Canis lupus familiaris: one gene and its partners. The protein of the gene in region 3 interacts with the protein of the main gene of each other region in a pairwise test. Links are inferred from orthologs where the notes say so. Each region holds a gene or a part of one and is shown on either strand. Other genes may lie near its edges.

The links. The genes of interacting proteins can lie anywhere in the genome.
Region 1: the proteins of RNF5 (region 3) and YIPF2 interact in binary tests that used the Homo sapiens proteins (3 or more experiments, as listed by UniProt). The two-hybrid records come from large-scale screens. The link is inferred for Canis lupus familiaris from reciprocal best matches to the Homo sapiens genes RNF5 and YIPF2.
Region 2: the proteins of RNF5 (region 3) and UBE2K interact in binary tests that used the Homo sapiens proteins (3 or more experiments, as listed by UniProt). The link is inferred for Canis lupus familiaris from reciprocal best matches to the Homo sapiens genes RNF5 and UBE2K.

Annotation. Positions count from the first base shown.
Region 1 is NC_049241.1:50,723,796-50,731,020, forward strand, and holds the start of YIPF2 (protein YIPF2), read left to right. Parts: upstream 1-2,960; 5' UTR 2,961-3,103; intron 3,104-3,259; 5' UTR 3,260-3,289; coding exon 3,290-3,320; intron 3,321-3,655; coding exon 3,656-3,810; intron 3,811-3,904; coding exon 3,905-3,985; intron 3,986-4,885; coding exon 4,886-4,973; intron 4,974-4,981; exon of another isoform or gene 4,982-5,008; coding exon of another isoform or gene 5,009-5,097; intron 5,098-6,215; coding exon 6,216-6,332; intron 6,333-6,423; coding exon 6,424-6,590; intron 6,591-6,667; coding exon 6,668-6,850; intron 6,851-6,912; coding exon 6,913-7,054; intron 7,055-7,129; coding exon 7,130-7,140; 3' UTR 7,141-7,225. Other genes in the region: TIMM29 (mitochondrial import inner membrane translocase subunit Tim29), read right to left, coding at 2,010-2,698, 2,775-2,868.
Region 2 is NC_049224.1:73,348,388-73,355,470, forward strand, and holds the start of UBE2K (ubiquitin-conjugating enzyme E2 K), read right to left. Parts: upstream 4,266-7,083; 5' UTR 4,033-4,265; coding exon 3,970-4,032; intron 1-3,969. UniProt on the Homo sapiens protein: Accepts ubiquitin from the E1 complex and catalyzes its covalent attachment to other proteins. In vitro, in the presence or in the absence of BRCA1-BARD1 E3 ubiquitin-protein ligase complex, catalyzes the synthesis of 'Lys-48'-linked polyubiquitin chains.
Region 3 is NC_049233.1:1,700,052-1,707,449, reverse strand, and holds RNF5 (E3 ubiquitin-protein ligase RNF5), read right to left. Parts: upstream 2,996-7,398; 5' UTR 2,831-2,995; coding exon 2,691-2,830; intron 1,810-2,690; coding exon 1,791-1,809; intron 1,696-1,790; coding exon 1,583-1,695; intron 1,467-1,582; coding exon 1,412-1,466; intron 1,335-1,411; coding exon 1,217-1,334; intron 1,108-1,216; coding exon 1,010-1,107; 3' UTR 541-1,009; downstream 1-540. UniProt on the Homo sapiens protein: Membrane-bound E3 ubiquitin-protein ligase that mediates ubiquitination of target proteins. May function together with E2 ubiquitin-conjugating enzymes UBE2D1/UBCH5A and UBE2D2/UBC4.

The sequences.
Region 1 (7,225 bases), on a different chromosome or scaffold from region 3:
GTACACCCCAACACCCAGTCCTTGTTCCATCTACCAGTTCCAGTCCATGAGCTTTACAACTCAGAAGGCAAGAGGTACTAGAGAGGGAAGCAAAAATATGGTAAGACTCCACTGGGAAAAGCCAATCTTGCAACCAAAGACAAAACCACATAGACTTTAGGCCTACACTAAGCCCCTAAATCCCTAGAACACTGAGAGCTGTTTAGTTTGTTGCCAACAACTCCTCACAGCTGTAGGGGGACTGCACAGAACACACTCTGGCTGAATGTTAGAAGAGGCATTTAATAACCAACACAAGCAGTGAGCAAGTGCAGCTCTCACTGATCACGGTGAAGAACAAGTCTCACTTTGATGCTGATGTGTCTTAAAGCTTTCCCTGAAGTTGGTTAATATCTGTCTTGAACAAAAACATCCGGATTTAGGCCCAGAGCCTTTGGCAGGTAACAGTATAGGACCATAGTTTAGTATCATTTGCTTTTTGTTCCCATTACGTTTCATTTCTATATTCACTTATTTCAGTATTCAAGTTTTATTTATGGCTAATGATAGCAGCATTTAATAATTCCTGGCAAGATGTTGCTAGGATCCAATACAGTACCCCAAGTTTGAGGATTAAGGCACAGGGTTGGGAGTTACCATTTGAATCATAGCTCTGCCACAGCCTTGGAAAAATCAGCTTTTTGAACATCACTTTTTCCATTGTAATGAAGATGTTGATTTACAAGATGCTCCCCTGTCCCAAAAATAAGGATATAAAAATCACCATGTGTCCAGCATACCCACAATGGAAAGTCTGAGTACCAAAACTGAATGACAAAATACATGAACTCAAACGTCACAGCAAAGATGGTTGCTTCATCTCATGGGGGTTTTTTTACTTTTCTTTTTAGTAATCTCTATACCCAATATGGAACTTGAACTCATGACCCCAAGATCAAGAGTCAGTCTTGCTCTTCCCACTGAGCCAGCCATGGGTCACCTAGGTTCACGGAGGTAATCTCATTCCTCTATCCATTTTTAAAGTAGGGTTATCACAACCTAAATACCAGCTCTGTAGACTAACCTATTCCATTCAATAGTATTCTGGGTTTCCAGGGTGACTGAAATAATAATCTGTGATTCCATAGTTAATTCCAGATTTTTTAAAAAAATGCTTTATCCTTCCAAATCAGTTTGATATCACTGTCATATGTGGGGGGGGAAGGTTTTTGCAGAAAGATTCCCTGTAAAATCTATAGTCATACCACTGGCAATCTCCTAGTTTGCTGTAGTTTATTGTAAAACATTACCATTTGGGGTAAACTGGGTGAAGGATACACAGAATGTCTTTGGGTTATTTTTCCACTTTCTTCTGAAACTGCTTTTTAACTTTATTTTGAAATAATTAAAAATGCTACTCATGAAAATGAAAGAAGATAAACATTGCAATTCCAAATTTAAAGTGAAAATCTGGGGGCACCTGGATGGCTCAGTGGTTGAGTGTCTGCCTTTGGCTCAGGTGGTGATCTTGGGGTTCTGTGATCGAATCCTGCATCCGGTTCACCACAGGGAGCCTCTGCCTCTCTCTCTCATAAAATAAACTCTTTTTTTAAAAAAATAAAAATAAAGTGAAAATCTGAATGGTATTAGGAGAGCTTTGGAGTCACCTGACAAATGTGGTACCTCGGTGGAGGGACTGGGAAGCTCAGTAAAAAAGGCTTATATATATATGTATAAGGCTCATTATTAACTCTGGCAGTGATAAACATTACCTGGTCTTGTCGCTTTGCTCTCCCCCAACTCCTTGACCCAAGGTTAGGCCTAGACCAAGCTAACTCTGAATCAGCTTCAACTAACAAGGAACCAGATGAGCGGGAGAGAGGCCGGAAAGGTTGTGAAAACCCAGGGAAAGAACACTGTGCACATAATTTATTTAAGTCACTCTGGATCTGAGGCTAAAACACAGCGGATGCCATCCCGGGTGGACGGTCAGCCAGCGCTCCGCGCCCTTCCGGATCCAGGCCTGGGTTTCATCTGGGGACCTCCGACCGCACCAGGGAGTCGGCCTGGCTCAGGGCGAGTTTGTCCTTCTTCTCCTTCTGCAACACCTGCTCTTCCCACAGCGCCTGGTCAACCTGATCGTCTGTGAGCACGACGGGCTTGTACTTCTCGTCGAAGAGGCGCTCGTTCGTCTCAGAATGCAGCTGATGGGGTCCGACGACGCGCAGATGGGCCGGCAGGTGCTGGAACTCCTCGTCGTTGATGTCGCAGTCGCGCATCCGGGCGGCCAGCACCCACCAGCGGCCCACGAAGCCCACGTCCAGGATCCGGTCCGGGAAGTCGGCCCAACGGGGCTGCAGGTAGCGGCAGCGAGCCTGGTAGAGGCTGGCCTGGGCGTCGACGGGCGCCTCGTACACGAGCGCGCAGAGGCCCAGGTTCACGTGGCGGAGGCGGCCGCGCCCCCGCAGCCAGAGCAGCCGCTGCACACAGTCCTCGGAGGCGCGGTTGCGCGTGGCGGGGGCCAGCAGCAGGAGGATGCCCGACGCGTCGAGCAGCGCCTCCTCGAAGGCCGCCTCGCTGGGCGCCAGCGCGCAGCAGGCCGCCGCGCCCCCCAGCAGCCCCGCGTACACGGCCGCCCGCCAGGGCCGGGCCCGCGCCGCCGCCGCCGCGTCCCCGCAAGCCTCGGCGTAGTCTCGGAGCAGCACGCGGGCCCAGGCGCCTGAGGGAGAAGCGGAACACACAGGTGAGAGCAGGCCGCCGTGGCCACCCTCCCGCCGCCGCCCGCCGCTACTCACCCAGCCGCGCCCACACGCCCGGCTTCGCGGCCGCCGGGCCACCAGATCCTTCACGGTTTCGGGACCACAATCTCTTCAGAGCGGCCGTCGCCATTCTCTTCCGGCTCAGAGTCCGTTTTCCGAAGCGAAACGCCTCGTGTGCGAAGTAAAAGGCCCGGGGGCCTCCTGCGCCAGCGTCGACGGTGCCGGAAGTGGCTTCCCATCGGAACAAGACGGAACTCGGACCGCTGCCGGATGTTGCTGTCGGGTCGGAGCGCGGCCGGCGGAGGCCGGGAGGCGGGCCGCGCAGGCGCAGAGAGCCTGGGCCACGCCGGCTGAGGGAGCCTCAGGTGAGGGGGGCGGGGTGCACCTGTGGGGCGGGGGCGGCGAGGTCACCCCCCGCTCGGTGCCCTAGCGGCCTGGCTGGGCTCCGGGCTGAGGGATGGACCTGGGGGGAGGGGCACCGAGTGTGGTTGGGGGCGGGCGTCATTGGCCTCTGTCCTCAGAGCGGGATGCGGTGACGCCCCTGAGCGACCATGGCAGCGGCCGACGAGCTGGCCTTCCACGGTGAGTGGGCGGCGACCTGGCCCGAGCTCCTACTCCCTCCGCCGCCCGGACCCTCCCACCCGGGTGCCCGCCGACAGCCGGCCTGAAGCCCCGACCCTGACCCGAACCCCGCTCCCAGCCTGAGCCTCGGTCCCAGACCTGACCCCATCCCGGAACCAGCCTTAAGTGGTGGGCCCTTGTGGGGCGGGGGGACACACCTTACAACTCCCCAAAACTTAGGAAGCTGGGCCCTTAGGTAGCCCCAGGTGGAGTGTTGTCCCCCAGCCGAGCAGTGGGCCAAACCAAATTGTCTTGACTCCCAAAACATGCCTTTGTCCCGTATTCCTTCTCCATAGAGTTCGAGGAAGCTTCTAGTCTGCTGGCGGAGACCCCAGATGCGGCCACCACGAGTGGCCGCGGTCAGCTGGCCCCACAGGGGCACGTGGCGGTGGAGGTGGACTCGGGTGGTATCTACGGATCTGAGGAGGCTGAGGAGAGTGACAAGACTGCGGTGAGAGCCTCAGGCCCTGCCTGCACCCAGCCCTGCCCCCGCGCTCCGCCCAGGCGGGAAGGGCAGCCGCTGAAAGCCCATGCCATCCCTGCAGCTCCTGCAGGAGGAGAAGCAGCAGCCCGGATTCTGGACCTTTAGCTACTATCAGAGCTTCTTTGACGTGGACACATCCCAGGTCAGGCCCGGGAAGCTGGTGGGATGGGGCCTGCGGTCACACGGGGGTCCAGCCACTGTTCACTGAGCCCTTCCTAGACACCAGAATGCTGGTGATGCCCAGGCGGTAGGACACGGGCCCCTACACGGGCTGGTGGACTGTGGTGCGCTGTCAGGATTATGGTGTGATGGGCTCGTGGGAACACAGTTGCATATAGTCACGCAGGTTAGAGAAGGGCCTCCTGGAGGAGGTGAGGAATGTGCAGAGACGTGAAGGGAAGCACGTATGGCAGGTGCAGGGAACAGCAGATGCAGAGGGCCAAAGGTGAGAGAAGGTGTCACGAGCTACCTGTCACTTGATCTGGTTGGAGATTGAGGTGGGGGACAGGCAGGCAGAACCCAGACCACAAAGGCCTCGTACGCTGTGCTAGTTTGAGTTTCATCGTGAGGGTGCTGGGGAGCCACAGAAGGGCTTAGAGCGGGAGAGGAATGAATTGAATTAGGAAGGTGGCTCAGAGACCCCAGGCCTTAAACCTGGGGTGCAGAACAAGGAATATAGTGGAAAGAGAGGTAGGCAGGAGGATGCCCAGGATTTGACTGTTCCCCACCTCACGGTCCAGGCATGTCACAACATAACAGGCTGTTCAGGGCAGCCAAGCTAAGAGAAGGGAGAAGCAAGGAGAAAGATGACCAACCCGGAAGAGTCCTTGAGAGCAGTAGCGCGCTAGGGTATTGGGGCTGGCCAGGGAAAGGGGCATCAAAAACTCAGGGAACATCCAAGCTTTTTCAGGCAAGGAGATGGGAGCTCAGCAGGGAAGGAGCCCCTAAGGGCAGGAGCTTAGCCCTTTCCTCTTTCTTTGGTGGAGGGATGTGTGTGTTGGCCCTGTGCAGGCTCCCATTCTGGGCCCCACCTTGTCCCCAGGTCCTGGACCGAATCAGAGGCTCACTGCTGCCCCGGCCTGGCCACAACTTTGTACGGCACCATCTGCGGAATCGGCCAGACCTGTATGGTGAGTGGTGGTGTACGTTCAGCTCGATAATTCATTCAGCACATGTGGACCGAGTGCCAGCCCATGGATTCCAGCTGAGAAGAAAGTAGGGGCACTCCCAGAGGGCAGGAAGCACGCATTCCATCTGGGGAGACAGATATATAGAGGCTGCTGAGGGCAATGGGGCTCAGAAAAAAAGCAAACAGTTTAGAGGATGGGAGTTGCCATTTTGCATGGTTGAGACAGGACATCTCTGAGGAGGATGCAAGAATGGGCCTTGTTAGGGATGAAGGTGAGGAGACATAGGGGAAGAACATTCCAGAAGGGGGCACAGGTCCAGTGGTGGAGCAGTATTGTCACTGGAGCAGTGAGCTGCATGAGGTCGTAGAGGTGACAGGAGAGACTGTGCAGATTTTGTCCGTCTCAGTGAGAAGGGGTCTTAGTTAAGGACTCTGAGGCTTCCTCTGGCCATGGGGGGCGGGGGGGGGCAGGGGCAGATGCCAGGAGACCAGAGAGGCAGTGCCCGCCACCATGGTACAGGTGTGGGGTGATGGGCCCAGCCCCAGGTGGAGAGCAGTGGTTGGACTGTGAAAGAGATCTCATGGCAGAGCCGACGGGACTTCCTGACACCCTGACACGCCTGAGGTCGGGCGGGAGGAGAGAGGCAAGGGTGGCTCCTGGATTTCCATCGGGACTGCTAGAAGGATGGGACTGTCATTTACCAACTGGAAAGGCTGGGCAGGCTGGAGTTGGAGAGACCTAGACGTGACGTGGAAATGCTGACTATAAAGCCAGTGGTTCATGGCACAGACCAAATTTGAGACATTTGGGAGTCATCAGCCTGGAGGTGACCTAAACCCCTGAGGCGGGACAAGATGGTGCAAGGGGTGAACACAGAGAGGATGGCTGAAGACCGGCCCTGGCTGGGTCCCCGTTATTGAAGGGGTTAGGGAGTCCCAAAGGTTGGGGAATAGCCAGGAATGTGACATGCCAGAAGCAGGAGCATGAAGTCCTAAAAGCACATGGGGAGTGGTTCCAGAAGAAGGAAGCGATCAGCTACAGCAAAGGCGATAGAAAAGTCAGGAAAGCTGAGGGACTGAGGGCCAGCTCTGGGATCAGCCAGCCCAGGTCATCAGTGACGGGGGGTGGTGTGCAGGTAGCCCCGAGCCTAGAAAGCAGCTGGGGTCCCAGCACAGTTGAGATGGGACAAGTCTCCTGTTCGGGGAACCCTGGGCCCCTTCCCACACCCTGCCCTGCCCACAGGCCCCTTCTGGATCTGTGCCACGCTGGCTTTCGTCTTGGCCATCACTGGCAATCTGACGCTGGTGCTGGCCCAGAGGAGGGACCCCTCGATCCACTACAGCCCCCAGTTCCACAAGGGTGAGTGAAGTGGGCTAGGCCTGGCACCTGCCGGGGCTGGGAGTGCACAGAGCCCCAAGGGTGACTGCCTGCCTTGCCCCGCGCTCCACAGTGACTGTGGCTGGCGTCACCATCTACTGCTATGTTTGGCTGGTGCCGTTGGCGCTGTGGGGCTTCCTGCGGTGGCGGAAGGGTGTCCGGGAGCGCATGGGGCCTTACACCTTCCTGGAGACCGTGTGCATCTACGGCTACTCCCTCTTTGTCTTCATCCCCACCGTGGTAAGTGCGGCCCAGGGGTGGAGGGCACCAGGCATCATGGGGAAGGCCTGGTAGGCAGCTGCCCATGTCGCCCCCAGGTCCTGTGGCTCATTCCGGTCCCCTGGCTGCAGTGGCTCTTTGGGGTCATGGCCCTGGTGCTGTCAGCCGCCAGCCTGGTGTTTACCCTCTGGCCTGTTGTCCGAGAGGACACCAGATTGGTGGCTGCGGTGCTGCTCTCGACTGTCGTGCTGCTCCATGCCCTCCTGGCCGTGGGCTGTAAGGTACAGACGGTCACGACCGGGGCGGGGGACGGGTGCTGACCCCCCACCAACACTGACTCCAGGGGCCTCGGTCCAGTTTTATTTCTTCCAGCCCCTGCCTCTGGAGCACCTGGCACCGCCGGCCCAGGCCACGTCTCTGCCTGCGAACCTCTTGCTGCCACCCACGTCGAGGCCTAAGGCCACTTAGGGCGGCCGAGCCTATGGGTAAGGGGCTGCTCCTGCCTTTCCTCCCCGTCTCGAGGAGTCCCAGGGCTGCTCCCAGGAGTCTCTCTCTTTCAGGCCCAACATGAGGGGACACCTATGCCTGCCCTGCTCCTCAGACGATGGCTGAAGGCTCCCCTGACACCTCAAGATCACTCTGCTACTTTCCAGACT
Region 2 (7,083 bases), on a different chromosome or scaffold from region 3:
ATATTTTATTTATTTATTCATGAGAGACACAGAGAGAGAGAGGCAGAGACACAGGCAGAGGGAGAAGTGGGCTCCATGCAGGGAGCCTGACGTGGGACTTGATCCTGGGTCTCCAGGATCAGGCCCTGGGCTGAAGGCGGTGCTAAACCACCAGGGCTGAGCCACCTGGGCTGCCTAAATATACTCTATTAGAATCATAGCAAATGTTAGCAAAGTACAGCTACAATATGAAAAAACTACAGATAACACATAACAACAACAACAAAAACCCCAAGAGTCTGAGCATTGACTTGGGACATATTATTTTATTGAGTTTCAAATTTAAAAGTATTTTGCAGGGGTGTCTAGGTGGCTTAGTCGGTTAAGCATCTGATTCTTGATTTTGGCTCAGATCATGACCTCGAGGTCATCAGGGCTCTGAGGTCCAGGGGAGTATGCTTAAGATTCTCTCTCTCTCTCCTTCTGCCCCATACCCCCCCACCCCGCCCCCTGCCCCTGCTGGCTTGTAAGCATGCGTGCTCTCTTTCTCTCTGAAGTAAACAACAACAAAAAATATGTTTTAAAGTACTTTGCATACTGACATGCAAATAAATATTTAAGTTACTTAACAGGTAATACTTCTTTTAATGTTTAAACTATTAAATTAGGTTGTGTTTATATCCTTTAATCAGTAATACAAACCAGTCTCAGTTATTTTTAAATAATTAAAGCATGCCTATCCTTGGAAAGTAATGACACTGTGTACAATATAAACACAAGCACACCTAGATCTAAGTCCCAAAGCTACATGCTTGCAGACAAATAATTTAACTTCTTTGAATCTCAATTTCCTCATCGAAGAAACAGGAAATCTAATTCAAAGAACTGTTCCTGAAAATTAGCAAGAATGCATAAACAAATGTTATTAAGAGTCAATCTACAAATGGTGCTTAGTTGTTAACAACAATAATACAACCCGAATATAAATTATGGTTTTATTATATCCTCACAATCAACATTTCACTTAGTAATTCGACTCATAAAATAACTATAAAATGTAGTTTAAAAAAAATGTAGTTTAATCAATTTTCCATTCCTGGCAATTTGAAATATTAAAATTCACACAGATTTAAAATTAGTATCTGAAACATAGAGGATGGATTTCCAAACAGTCTCAAGGAAAAAAGACCTAGATGCCTTTATTATTTTATTTAAGTAAATAATATATATGCATGACTCCAAACTCAAAAGGGATCCTTTAATGCCCATTACCCCAGACCACCCAATTCCCTCATACAGAAGTAATCAATTTTCCAATTTCTCACGGAGAAAAATACACATATTTCCCCCCTTATTCCAATACAAATGGTAGCCTCCTCCACACTATTCTGCACCTAGCTTTTCACATTTGATTTATCTTCAAGCCTAGATTTTAATTAACACACTCCAAGAGTGACTACTTATAACCTCTTATGGTTAGAACTCAGCAAACATCAGCTATCTTTAGAAAACAAAAGACAAAAAAAAAAAAAAATTCCTTAAACCAATCAGTATTCTTAGTAAACAAGACCATATGAAACAAACTTTGGGAAACCTAGAGATTTATGTAGATGATATGATGAAATACTTAATTACTTGACCAGACACTCAAAATACTACATTTCCACACTTAAAAAGGAAAACACGTGGACTCTACTACAAGTCATTCAATGAGCTGAAAATAATCAACACAATCCACTTATAAAACTGGACCTACTAAAATATCGATGAAAATAAAGCTATTTATTGGTTATAATCCAAGATTAAATTATCTGACCCTTTCCTAAATGTACTCTGCAATTTATTTTCTAGAAGAAATTTCCTTCCAGGTTTATAAAGGTACTCTTCTTAAAACAATTTATTAGCATTTCCTATTCTCTTTCTCTGAAATACCATAATGCTTACTTGAAGCAAGACTTCAACATCCCTTACAGAGCAGTATTGTTTTAACAATATGCATACTAGAGTTGATACAAGATTTCTTTTAAGCTTTAATTGAAGTACTAAAAATATAGTGAAAGTCACCTCATACGAAGCAAAGAGACCATATGAATTGAGAGCAGTAACTTACCATTTTTAATAGAAAATAAAGCACTAGAAAGAAGTCATATTAAGTCTCAGGCTTGTACAACTTTATTAACAGAAGAAATGTTTTAGGCTGTTGGCAACAGTATTAGCTGAATATTTCATAGGATTATATATATGTCGACTATCCTGGAACATATTTTCTTGCGAATAAAAAGTTAGAATCATTGTTTCACTGTATATCAGTACAGACATTTATGATCCTATTTCTGCATTGTACCACAAAAATACAAAGTCATCCTTCCATTCAGAGTTTTGGCTCTTGAACAAATACAGAGGTCAGAGTTCATACACATGCTCTGTAAAACAGATCATTTCTTATAGACTACTACATTAGTAAATCGCTAGTATTTGTTATTTTAAGTTAATCTTAAAGAATTATATTCTCCATGTCTAATTGGAGAAATGATTACTGTAGAATCAGTGACATAAATAAAGCTCAAGTATTGCCACTTATGTCAATTACTCATTAGAATGCTGAATTTCACAAATCATTGAGATTATCAACGCTCCAACATAAAAGAAAAATACAAATAGTAATGATACATCCAATAATGGTATGTGACATCTTGAAAATAATAACTATTTCAGTATTACTTTTTCATCTCTCTCTTTGTTAAATCCAAGGAGGAAAAACTTGGCATTCTTGTTGTTGTGGGTATAAAAAATTGTACTGATCCTTGTACAGTTTTGAGTCAAATCACTAGAATATTCTGAATATACTATATAAGTAAATATGGCAAACAGCAGAGTATTTAAATTCTGCAGGACTCAAGAGCAGCTTGAGACAAAAAAAAAGTGTTTCCAATAATTTCAATTATGATACAAACCTACTCAATAAGGAGGTATAATAATATATTAATCCGGGGGAAATCCCATGTTTTTAATAGGGCTGGTTTTTCAAAAGTAAGAATCAAGTTAACTATGAGAGACATCATAATGAAGTTTCATGGCATAACACAACAGTCACAGAGGCATTGTCTTAGGAGAGACTCTGACCTGTAACTTGTAAACAATATTTTGAAATAAGCTACTCTTTACCCTCCATTATTTTTTCCTATCGAAAAATATCTAAATGCCTTTAATACACCAAACAACATGCCTTCGACCCAATCAAAAAGCTTTAGATGTCAACAGAAAAGAGGCCTAGGAATTGGGGGTGGGGTGAAGGAAGGGTTGTGGGGGGGGGGGAAGTCGGGAAAAATGAGATAATGATCTATTTTGGAATTAATTCCCTACCTCAGGTGAAAATTCCCTCATTCCCCACTCCAATAGAATAGTATCCCATTACGTCTCCTCTTCTCTCCCAACACCGAACTAAGGAGGGAGTAACTCTGAAACGTCCTTCTTTCATCAGTACCTAAGGTCTTTTTACCGCTCCTTCCCAAAAGAAAAGGACAGTGGAGGCCAAAGAGGCTGTAACGTAGAAAACCCTCAAAAGTGCGGGCCTCGGAGCGGCGCGGCTCTCGGGATCCAGTTACCACCTTTCCCCTTCCCCCAACCCACTTCCCGGGTTTTCTCAGGCCCGGCCTGCTCCCTCCCCACCCTACATCCACACTTCCAGCTGTTGCCACGGCCTCGGGCTCTCTCTAGAGCTCACACCCCTCCAGGAGGCGCCCCCTTCTCCATCTGCCCCCCAAACCGTGCTCCTCTCCAGACCGCCCGCCCGCGAGACTGTCCATCCCAGGGCCCGGGGAGGGGAGGGGAGGGCGACGGAAGCAGGGGGGAGACTGCTGCTTCCCCACAGGCAGAAAGGGCGGCCGCCAAGAGGGCCACCCAGGGGTTACCGGGGGGCCGGGGTCGCCGCTGGGAGCACCCTCCCGCCCAGGGCTGGGGTGGGGGCATGTCTGGGAGTTCATTTCTGACCTCCTCGCTCTTCAGCACCTCCTTGAACTCCCGCTTGATTCGCTGCACCGCGATGTTGGCCATGTCTCCGCCCGCAGCTGATTCGTACCCGCCTCCTCCGCCACCGCTACGACCACCGCCACCGCCGCCACCTCTTCCACCAGCGCCTCCTCCCTCGGCGACTCACACCCGAGCACACGAACGCTGCCACTGCCACCCGGCCGCCGCGCTCTCCTCAGTGTGGAATCACCTCCGCGCCCGGCCACCAAAATGGCGCCGGGTCCGCGCATGCGCAAGACGCTGACCCGGCCGGGCGGCGCAGCCGCTCCCGTTGTAGCCCCATACGCCTCAAACGCGAGCCCGCGCCGCGCTGCGCCGCGCGTCTCTGCCGGAGCTGCGGCCGCGTGGCTCCGCCCTGCCGGCGTCTGAGGCCAGGAGGGTGCGGCTTCCGCGCTGGCCGGCCCTGCGCGGGCCTCCCGGGTCCTCTCGGGTGCCTCCGCCCCTCTCCAAATCGCTGTGGTGCGGCCGAGGCTTCCCACCCGCGGCCTCTGACGGAGGGCTGGGCGCGAGCTAGCGGGTTCTCGCGGCCCCGGTCGGCTGCGAGCGCCGTCCTGACCCAGCCAGACCCAGGACCCCCGGGCTTGCTGCGCCTGACTGGGTCGAGGGCACGAAAACACCATTCCAGAACTCATCCGGCCCATTTTCTGTCGGTGTAGGCCCAGAAAAATCCCACGGCGGTCCGTTTTTGTTCTGAAGCCATTAAAGTGCCACTACTAACGCGATTGTTCCAGATACTCCACGTCGCTGAATTCAAAGTGGTCATTGTTGGGTCGCATCAGGTGTATTTGAAACAGGTAACTCCATGTAGATGCCTGAGGTAGATTTCGAAGTCAGATGTTGATCTTTGAGCTACTTAGATCATCAGTACCGAGGTGTAAGAGTTTTTAACCTTGGGGGCACCCTGGGTGGCTCAGCAGTTGAGCGGCTGCCTTGGGTTCGGGTCATGATCCCGGGGTCCTGGGATCGAGTCCCACATCGGGCTCCCTGCATGGAGCCTGCTTCTCCCTCTGCCTGTGTCTCTGCCTCTCTCTCTCTCTCTCTGTGACTATCATAAATAAATAAAATTTTTTTAAAAATTAAAAAAAAGAGAACAGGGTTTCTTAACCTTGACACTAGTGACATTTTTTTTTTAAGTTTTTAACATTGAATCTACATCAGAATCCCTCAAGAGTTTGTTTAAAAAAACGAAACAAAACAAAAACAGGTTGCTAGACCCCATCCCTAGAGTGTGGGGTGGACCTAATAATTTGCTTCTCTAACAAGTTCTCAAATGCTGCTGCTCTTGCTGCTGGTTCAGGGACCACACTACCAGCACCACTAAACTAAAACATGTGAAAATAGTTTGTATGTTAAAGTGGAAAATGGAGAAATAAAATAAATAAATACATATTTTTTTAAATGGAGAAATAGATGCTTCTTGTGGAGGAATGGTAGCTTTACTTCTGTAAACCTAAGGGCCTATGACTGTCTCGCACTAGTAGGCACTCAATAAATATTGAGTGAACAAATGAAGATAAGAGAAAAATGTTTTAAGTATATAGTAAGTTTGAAAGGCAAATTGAAAATGGTTGCTAGGGTTTCAGGAAGTGATATGGTTTTGGTGCTGAGCGGTACTTTACATAGAACATTCTGGAATAAAGTAATAAAGTTTATTTAGAAGTTTTTATTTCATGAGCTGCTTTCTCCTCATCAGTTAGTAAAGTATCCTCCGAGAAAAATATCACAAATACACGGTCTTAGCAAGAATTACTAAAATTGTGGCACCAAAGTGATTCACAGGCAGTGAATCATTCAAGTGGAGGCACATGGAAAAAAAGTTCTTGAACTTCTGCCATCGGAACCAAGAGGAAATTTTTGATTCCAGCTCTACTCCATGCTAGCTATCTTGGCCAACCTTGGTTTCCTCATCTGTAATATAAGGAAGCTGGACTAGATGTTCTCTTTCAGGTTTTAAGAGGTCAGAATTCTAAAGCATCATTTGGAAATACCTCCCTAGTGGACTAATATAAATTATAAAAAACCCTTCCAGCAGAGCCCCCTAGTGGTCCGCAGAGGTTATACATGTGGGTCACGGTACAATGAATTATTGGTGTAATGTAAATCATTGCAATGCTATGTGTATTTGTGTCAATATATTAAAAATAATTATTTGGGGGGCACCTGGGTGGCTCAGCGGTTGAGCATCTGCCTTTGGGTCAGGTTGTAATCTCAGGGTCCTGGGATAGAGTACTGCATCAGTGCTCCCGGCAGGGAGCCTGCTTCTCCCTCTGCCTATGTCTCTGCCTCTCTGTGTCTCTCATGATAAATAAATAAAACCTTGAAAAAATAAACAAATAAATAAAAATAATTATTTTGAAGTGTTTTGAGTACTTTACATTTATCAACTTCATTCAGTCCCCAATCTTAATTTTGGAACTTCAAGGAGACGTGCAACATTCAAATCACAGGGGGACAACTTGGGAGAGTATGGTCATTTCTTTGATAGAGAGGGATTTGGGTTTGTTTGTTTGTTTGTTTGTTTTCTTGAGAGACAGAAAGAGGGAAAGGGGCAGATGGAAAGGGAGAGACAGAATCTTAAGCAGGCTCCCTGCTTAGCATGGAGCCAGACATAGGGCTCCATCTCAAAACCTTGAGATAATGATCTGAGCCAAAATAGAGATCCAACGCTTAAACGACTAAGCCACCAAGGCGCCCCATGTCGTTTTTAAATACACATAATCATTGGCTCTGAAATTCTACTTCTAGGAAGTCATTCTACAATCCTTCCAGAGAATGAGACAACTATATATTAGCTGATATGAGACAATCCCCAAAGTACATTTTAAGGGCAAAAAAAAGCAATATGCTAAATGCAACGTGGTATCTTGGATTAGATCCTAGAACTGAAAGGACCTAACTAGTAACTAGTAAAATCTAAATAAATCCTGTAATTTAGTTAATAGTATTGTGTCAATATTAATTTCTTAGTTTTGATGTGGTACTATGGTTATATAAGATGTTAACATTAGGAGAAGTGAACAGTGTACAAGAATCTCTGAAACTTTTCTATAAATCTACAATTACTCCAAAAGAAAA
Region 3 (7,398 bases):
TAAACACCTCACCCATTTGTTCTCGTGCACACATATGGATGTGTGTGTGTGTGTGTGTGTGTGTGACAGAGACACCTGTGTGTGTGTGAGACACCTGCATGTGTGAGATGCCTGTGTGTGTGAGACTGTGTGAGACGCCTGTGTGACACACCTGTGAGAGATGACTGTGAGAGACACCTGTGTGTAAGAGATGACTGTGTGTGAGACCTGTGTGTGAGAGACACCTGTGTTTGAGAAAGAGATGCCTGTGTGTGACACCTGTGTGAGACACGTGTATGAGATGACTGTGTGTGAGACACGTGTGTGTGTGAGAGACGCCTGTGTGTGTGTGTGTGAGAAAGATGCCTCTGTGTGTGTTTGTGTGTGTGTGTTTGTGAGAGAGAGAGAGAGAGAGAGACGCCCTCACCCTCTGAATCCCTCAGAGCCTTGAAGAAAGCCTTCACACTTCCCCACACCGTGCAAATATTTACTCAAGTTGGGGAGATGCTCCTGTCCTGGAAGGAAGGGGGTAAGGACAAAGGTGGGCAGAGCTCCCATCAGTACATCTCACCTTGTTTATTGAATTTATAATAAAGGAGGTAGTGAAGGGAAGGAAGGACTTAAGAATCAGAACCCATATTAGACACTGGGGAGAGAAAAATTAAGTCAACAGGGGTAAAGTAGGGGAGAGTCAGTGGGAGCCTTGCCCATCTTTCAACATCAAATCAACAAATGTGGGGGAAAGCAAAAGATCAGGAGAGGGAAGAAACAGACATCCTCTTCCGTCTGTCCTCCTGTCCCAGAGCTGGGAGTTAGGATGCTACGCAGCGAGTTCAGGGCAGAAGTTTCTCCCATCCTCTGCACAGATGTCACACCTCCTCCCCACACCCTCCTACAAAGTGGCCAGGGTTGGCCTTAGCCAGTAGAAACGGAGGGGTTGGGAGGGAGGGGCCAGGAGTAAGGAAGGGTCAGCAAGGACCCCCAATACTGATTCTCCTCTGGCTGGAGGTGGGCAGGAAGGAGACAAAGCTCAAATACTGAGCAGCCAGAAAAAGAAGAAGATGGCGAGAAACAGGAAGAGGGAGTCCTGCCAGCTGGAGGCCGGGTGACCCTGTCCCAGATCCACACCTGTAGGAGAAAGGAAAGCTGTGGGAGAAGCATCCACTCCTAGGTTGGGAAAAGGCCTGAGGGGACTCAGAGGGCTCCCTGCTTGGAGCTGAGGGAAGGCTCTTCTTACCTGTACCCCGACGGAATGGCTCATGGGTGTTGAAGACGGTGGTGAAAAAGCCAAAGGGAAAAGCACCAACACCAAATGAGAAGTGAAAGCCCCCGGTATCACCAAATGACTGGAATCCCTAGGGAGGTGGAGAAAGTCAGAGGAGAACTGGGCAGGTCTTTGGCAAGGAAGGAACACAAATCAGACAAGACTCACCCCTCTGCTCTCTGAAGCTGGTCGCTGGCCCTGGGGGCGGGGTGGAGTTTTCAATCTGAGGAATGAGAGACTGGCTAGGGCTAGCAGCAAGGAATGTCCTCTCCCCCTCCACGCCCCACTCCCAGGCCAGAAGCAGTCCATCTTCCCTCAGCACCACCCCCTCTCTCTCACCTGGGATCCTGGGGCTTCTGGCTCCCTCGCCCATAAAGAGGGACAACCTTTTCTCTGCTGATCCCAGCTTTACACACTGGGCACTCTTGCCGCTCTGGCCGGGTCTCCAACCACTGAGGGAGAAAATGAAGTGGTTTCCAGTTCACAGTAGGGTTTTTCAACTCCTCAGACCTCCCCATTTCCCTCTTCATCTCCTCTGAGTACGCACCTGATGAAGACAGGGCCAACTAGATGGGGGGAAAAAAAGAAGGTCAAACTAGCTACAGTAAAGACAGACACGAACCTGACCTCAGAGTCCGATCGCACCCCTCTTCCCAGGTATTACCTGCTGTTTCTTTTCATGTTTTTGACAACCTATTCCATGCCAGCCAATTTGGCCTTCCCACCTCTCTGATCTTACAACGTCTAAAGTAATATTCATCCTCCGAGGTTCAACGCTCTTCTCTCCTTGAACACACATGTCCCCTCCCTTTTCTGCCTCTGAACTTAGTGTCCAGGTCTCTTCAACCAGAGCTTTCTAGATCTCCTGTTTCAGCCCCAACCCCAGCCCTGCCCGCATCACTCCTCAACCAAACCCCCTTTACTAGCACCTGCCCCCACTACTCCTTTTCCTCTCTTCTAGGCTCCATCAAGTCCCTATTTCCACCATCCTTTCATTTCTCAGTGCCCTGGTCCTCAGGTCTGTCATACCACTCCCTACCAAGATCTCATCTGCATGCGATCCTACATTCCCTCGGTCTCCCGTACCCGACTAAGGCGTGCCTCCTCTAACCTTGGAGTCTAATCTATCTCCACCTGTACAACTAAGACCGTCACTTTCCGGGGTAAGGCGGCTGGGGTCTCACCTGGACAGATGTAGTTCCCCCACCACCACCCCGCCCTGCTGCCTCTTAACCACAGCACACCCCTCAGCGCCCAGTTCCTAGGGCTCTCCGCCACACGGCTCTCCTCCGTGGAGATGTGACCCTCTCACCCACACATTCCCAGAGACCTCGGGCCTCGCCCACGGGGATGTGCCCGCCGACTATCCGTATGCGTGCCATCCCGCCCCCAGCCTCCCCAGTAAGGGGCGAGCCCCATTTCTCTTCAGCCCCGGCCGGACCCTCACCAGTACAGGTGGCCACACACGCTGACCACAGCCTCCCGAGCAGTCTCCAAGCATATATTACATTCGAAGGTCGCGCCCGCCCCGCCCCGCTCGCGGTTTGGCCCTTCGGGGCCCCCGTCCTCCTCCTCCGCGGCTGCCATGGCCGGTGTTTCGCCTTCACGTACCCCTCGGTCTCCCCAAACACACACACAGACACACACACGCCCCAACAGCGAGAAACCGCCTCCAGCCCACGACCGTTGGGCGGGCTTCGAGGTTGTCTAAACACTACTGGTCTGGGTGGCTGACAATCACACAGTTTAAAAGCCAGGATTGGCCCAAAGGGTAGGGAGAGGTCTGCGCAGGCCTGCCCTTGCCAGCGACGATTGGCGGGCGCGTCTCCGTCAGGACGCCATGCGACAGAATTGGTGTCCGTTGGACCTGGTCGGGGAGCTTGATTCGTCTGAGTAGCTGCCAGTCAGGGCCAAGGGCCAGAAGCAATTGGTCCGGGACCACACAGGCCCCGCCTCCTCCGAGCCCTTTCTTTGCTTCACTTCCCCTTTCCGAGAACGTCCGGATTCCTATTGGACTTTGGAGCGTAGAGCTCCGAAGCTCTGGATTGGCTGGAACTCGACGGAAGATGGTGGTTCGGCAAAGTGCGCGCGCGCAGCAGGCGGCGGGAAGGGGCGGGCCAGGCCGAGAGTGCTCGGCTTTCTCTGGCCCCACCCCCTCGCCGCGCTCTTGTCGCCGTGGTGACTGCTCTACGATTGGCGGGCTTTGGGGTTCAAAGGCATCAGCGCCGCCTCATCCGGGCCCTCCGACTGCGGTCTCTCCGGGCTGATTGGCTAGTTTCTTGCAGCCCTGATTGGCCGAGATCGGAAAAGACGGCCGAGAGCTCGGCGAGGTAGCAAATGCTATGGTCGCAGGGCTCAAAATGGCTCCGGCCTCCTTCGGTGACGTAGAGGGCAGAACTGGGGCTCGCCCCTCCCTTTCAGTGAAGAAGGGAGCAGAACTGGCATCAGCTCGACGTGTGGGTGGTGCGAGCATCGACCTGCGGCGCTGGTGTTAACCCATCTCCCTCGGCTGCGGGACGCAGCCCGCTCCTCCTTAGGTGACTTGCAGAACAGATCTCAAGGCCCACACCTTTCTAACGTTGACACAGGATGACAGAGTTGACCCCGGCCCCGTTTTAAACCTGAAAAGCGAACTAGCTCCACCCCTTCGTGAGTAGGTGCCGAGGGGGCAAGGCCCGCCCTCCTGAGCGACCCGCGGCGGAATGGGGTTAGGCCCGCCCCTTCCGTCCTGTAGTGTGTCCCGCAGAAGTGGGGTCTTCCTCCTGGGTAGGACCCCCGGGACTTGGGCAGGCCCGAGCTTGGGCCTTCTCTACAGTCAGTGACCTCACTGTGGCCCAAGGAGCAGAACTAGGTAACAGTCCTCCCATACCAGTGTTCCTTACATCCTCGACCTCAGGGCGTGTAAATTCTAGCAGGGCGAATGTGTGTCTGGCAGCGGGGACAGACTCGGGCCGAGGGCAGGTCAGCACCCAGATAAAGGTCTCACGTGACCAGGGAGGCCAGGTGAGAGGAGGGCGGGGGAAGTGAAGGTACAGGATGCCGGGAAAGGCTTAGGAGAAAAGTTCTAGGGGAAGGGGTGTAGACCAAGGAGAGGAGCAACGCAATGGTCCTGGTTTAAGGGACAGTGGAAAGACGAGCGAGAGGAGGTCAGAGGCTGGACAGGGAACAGATACATGCCTACAAAATTCAGGAGGCATGCTCGTCCCAGAGTAATCTAGCGTTCTTTCTCTCTCTCTCTCTCTCTCTCTCTCTTTTTTTTTTTTTTTTTTTGTTTCTTTCTCATTTTTTTTTAAAGCAACCCTAATACCCAGTTTCTACTGGAAAAGATGCGCCCGCCCAGATTCTATGTTGGGGAGAGGCACTGTCTCAGCTTCAGTGATTGAGACTGACAGGAAGGAAATTGAAAAGCGAAAGTACTGAAGTTAAATAAAGACCGTGGAAGGACAGGGGCAGGGACAGGGCCCGAGAGTACCTCTTCTCTTTAAAGACCAGAGAGAGGGTTGAAGCAGGGAGCCGGACTGCGTGCGGGGAGGGCAAAAGTCAGAGAGCCAGCGAGAGCTGGAGGGGCCAGGGAGGTGGAGCCACGGGGAGGAGACGAGTACTTGGCATATAGTAGACACCTGCAGATATCCGGAGTTGGGAACAGGAAAGAGGTTTTTGGAGGAGTCGGGAGTTGGAGGGAATATACAGCAGATAAGGGAGTTAAGGAGAAAGGAAGAAACCGAGTGAAATTCCCAGGAAGAGGAGAGCTGATGAAGAAGGAATGGGCCAAGGAAGGAATACAGCACCAAGGGACACACGAGCCATGTGTGCTGAAAGGGAGTTGGAGGAAAAAAAGATGCAGCTGGAGCCTGAGAAGGCCGGAGACCGGCAAAGCCCAGCCGAGCTCTCGCGGGGCGGAGCCACCGAGGAAACTGGTCGATTCGGGGAGGCGATTGGCAAGACGGGCCGCCCATCACCGCCCCCTACTTCCTGGCCAGCCCCGGAAGCCCGCAGGCGTTGGGGAGGGGTAGGGGGATAGCGGCAGCAGCAGCCCCAGCCTCAGAGAGACAGCAGGGAGGGAGGGAGGGAGCTAGGGGGATAACCCCCCACCGTTCCTCCCGCAATGGGCCCAGCCTCCCACTCTCACCTCCCCTCCATCGGCCGGGGCTAGGACACCCCCAAATCCTGTCGCCCCCTTGGCACCGACACCCCGACCGAGGCAGAGACACAGCCACCCGCCACCACCGCTGCCGCAGCCTGGCTGGGGAGGGGGCCAGCTCCCCGGGCCCCCCACCCCACTGAGGTGGGGGCGGGAAAGGGATGGGAGGAGGCGGGAGGAGGGTGCCGAGAGGGGATGGGGGAGAGATTGGGTCTGGGAGGCGGACTGGGGAGAGGTTTGCTGGGGAAAGGAGAGGGGCCCTGAGGGAGGAAGGATGGAAGAGAGACGGAGGAGATCCGAAAACCCTGTGCATTTGGGATGGGGGTGTGGACAGAGTCCTGAAGAGGGAATTCCTGACACCTTCCCCAGTTCCTTTTCCTGCCCTTTGGCCCCACATGACTCTTGAGGGGTTGTAGCCGGGAGAAGGTGGTTTATTGCCCTCCTTCCCCTAGCAGAATTCGCTTCCTAGAAATGCCCTCAGACACCTCTGTTTCATCTGGGCACAGGACCTTCTTCAGTGGCCATCCACACTGGACTAGATCCTTACTGACACAGATGCTTTGTGGGGGGCCATGTTTTCTACATTGAGTCCGTGTGCCTTTGACATGTTTAGTGGCTTATGTGCGGCTAGCCTCTCCCTGTGCTCTCCGTGGACTGTGGACAAACGATGTTATTGTCCATCAGAATTGCCCATTCTCCTATCTTTATGTCCATGTCTCTTGTCCAGTCTTGACATTGTTCAAATGTGAGTTTTTATATATTGCATCCATTGTGTGGTTTTGTGTTTTTTGCACATTTTATGCTTTTGCATGTTTACTTTTGCATGTAAAGGTTATCCCTTATTTGTTTTGTTTCATGTATCATATATTATTATGTCCATGATCCTGTCATGTGTGGTAGTCTTCGTGTGGGGGATCCTGTGGTTTAGTGGACTAGTGCACACTTCTGTTGTGATTGGGTTGGCCTGTTGGCTGCATGTGTTTTCCCAGTCAGGATTCACACCATACCTATGCATGCTCCTTTACATATTTATCATGTTTACACTGATGTGGCCCTTCCACAGCATCTGTGCTTCTGGGTACACATACTATTTATTTCATAATTTTATTGGCAGTGTATTTTGTGAGTCATCTGCACATTAACCCATTTGGCACTCCATGCGCTTATAAGTCCTTGGACATTTCTGCTCCAGAGGAGGTCACTTAATGTTATACATTAGAGAAAAAGGTGACGGGGCCTCTGTTTCCCCAGAGAACCATCCCCATGTGCCTTACCTTGCTGACCTTCCTGGCCTGATCTCTCCAGTGGCTGTGGACAGCCTGTGTTCATGGAGGTCAGTGCATGCCACAGGGTCAGCTCTGCTGTGCACTTCCTCTGTTCCCCCACTCTTTTGCTGTGTTGGCATTTATTGATGACAGTAGCATCTCTCCCCTGTGGCATGTTAATCCCCATTCCGTATGTTTCTCTTTTGTGTGAGATGGGATGCGCCATCTTGATTGTTGGTGCTTCCCCTTCAACGTGACTGCGTATTGTATGTGTATATTCAGAGAAGGTTACTGTTAGGCTTGTTATGTTCATTGCTTTCTCAGTGACTTATCTTTTCACAGAGTGTAGCTATCGGATTCCTGATCATTTCTGTCATTAATTATGGCTGTGTGGGTGTGTATCCAGCCTTATAATCTGTTCAGCAAATGTTTATTGAGCACCCTCTCTGCCTCCTTCTGTCCCAGGTATTGGGCGTTACTACCCTCAAGCTGCTTACAGACTAGGGAAGGAAACAAAAGTGCCAGTGAGCAGTTATGTACGCTGTGGTGTCAAGATTAGTGGTTCTCAAACTTGTGTGCACACCAGACTCACTTGGAGGGCTTGTTAAAATACAGATTGTTGGGCCCAAGGCCCAGAATTTCTGATTCAAGAGATCGGGGGCGAGGTCCAAGAATACGCATCTCTACACTTTGAGAACCAGTGATCAAGATAAAAGTGTAATGAAAACTCAGGCCAGGAGGGGTTCAAG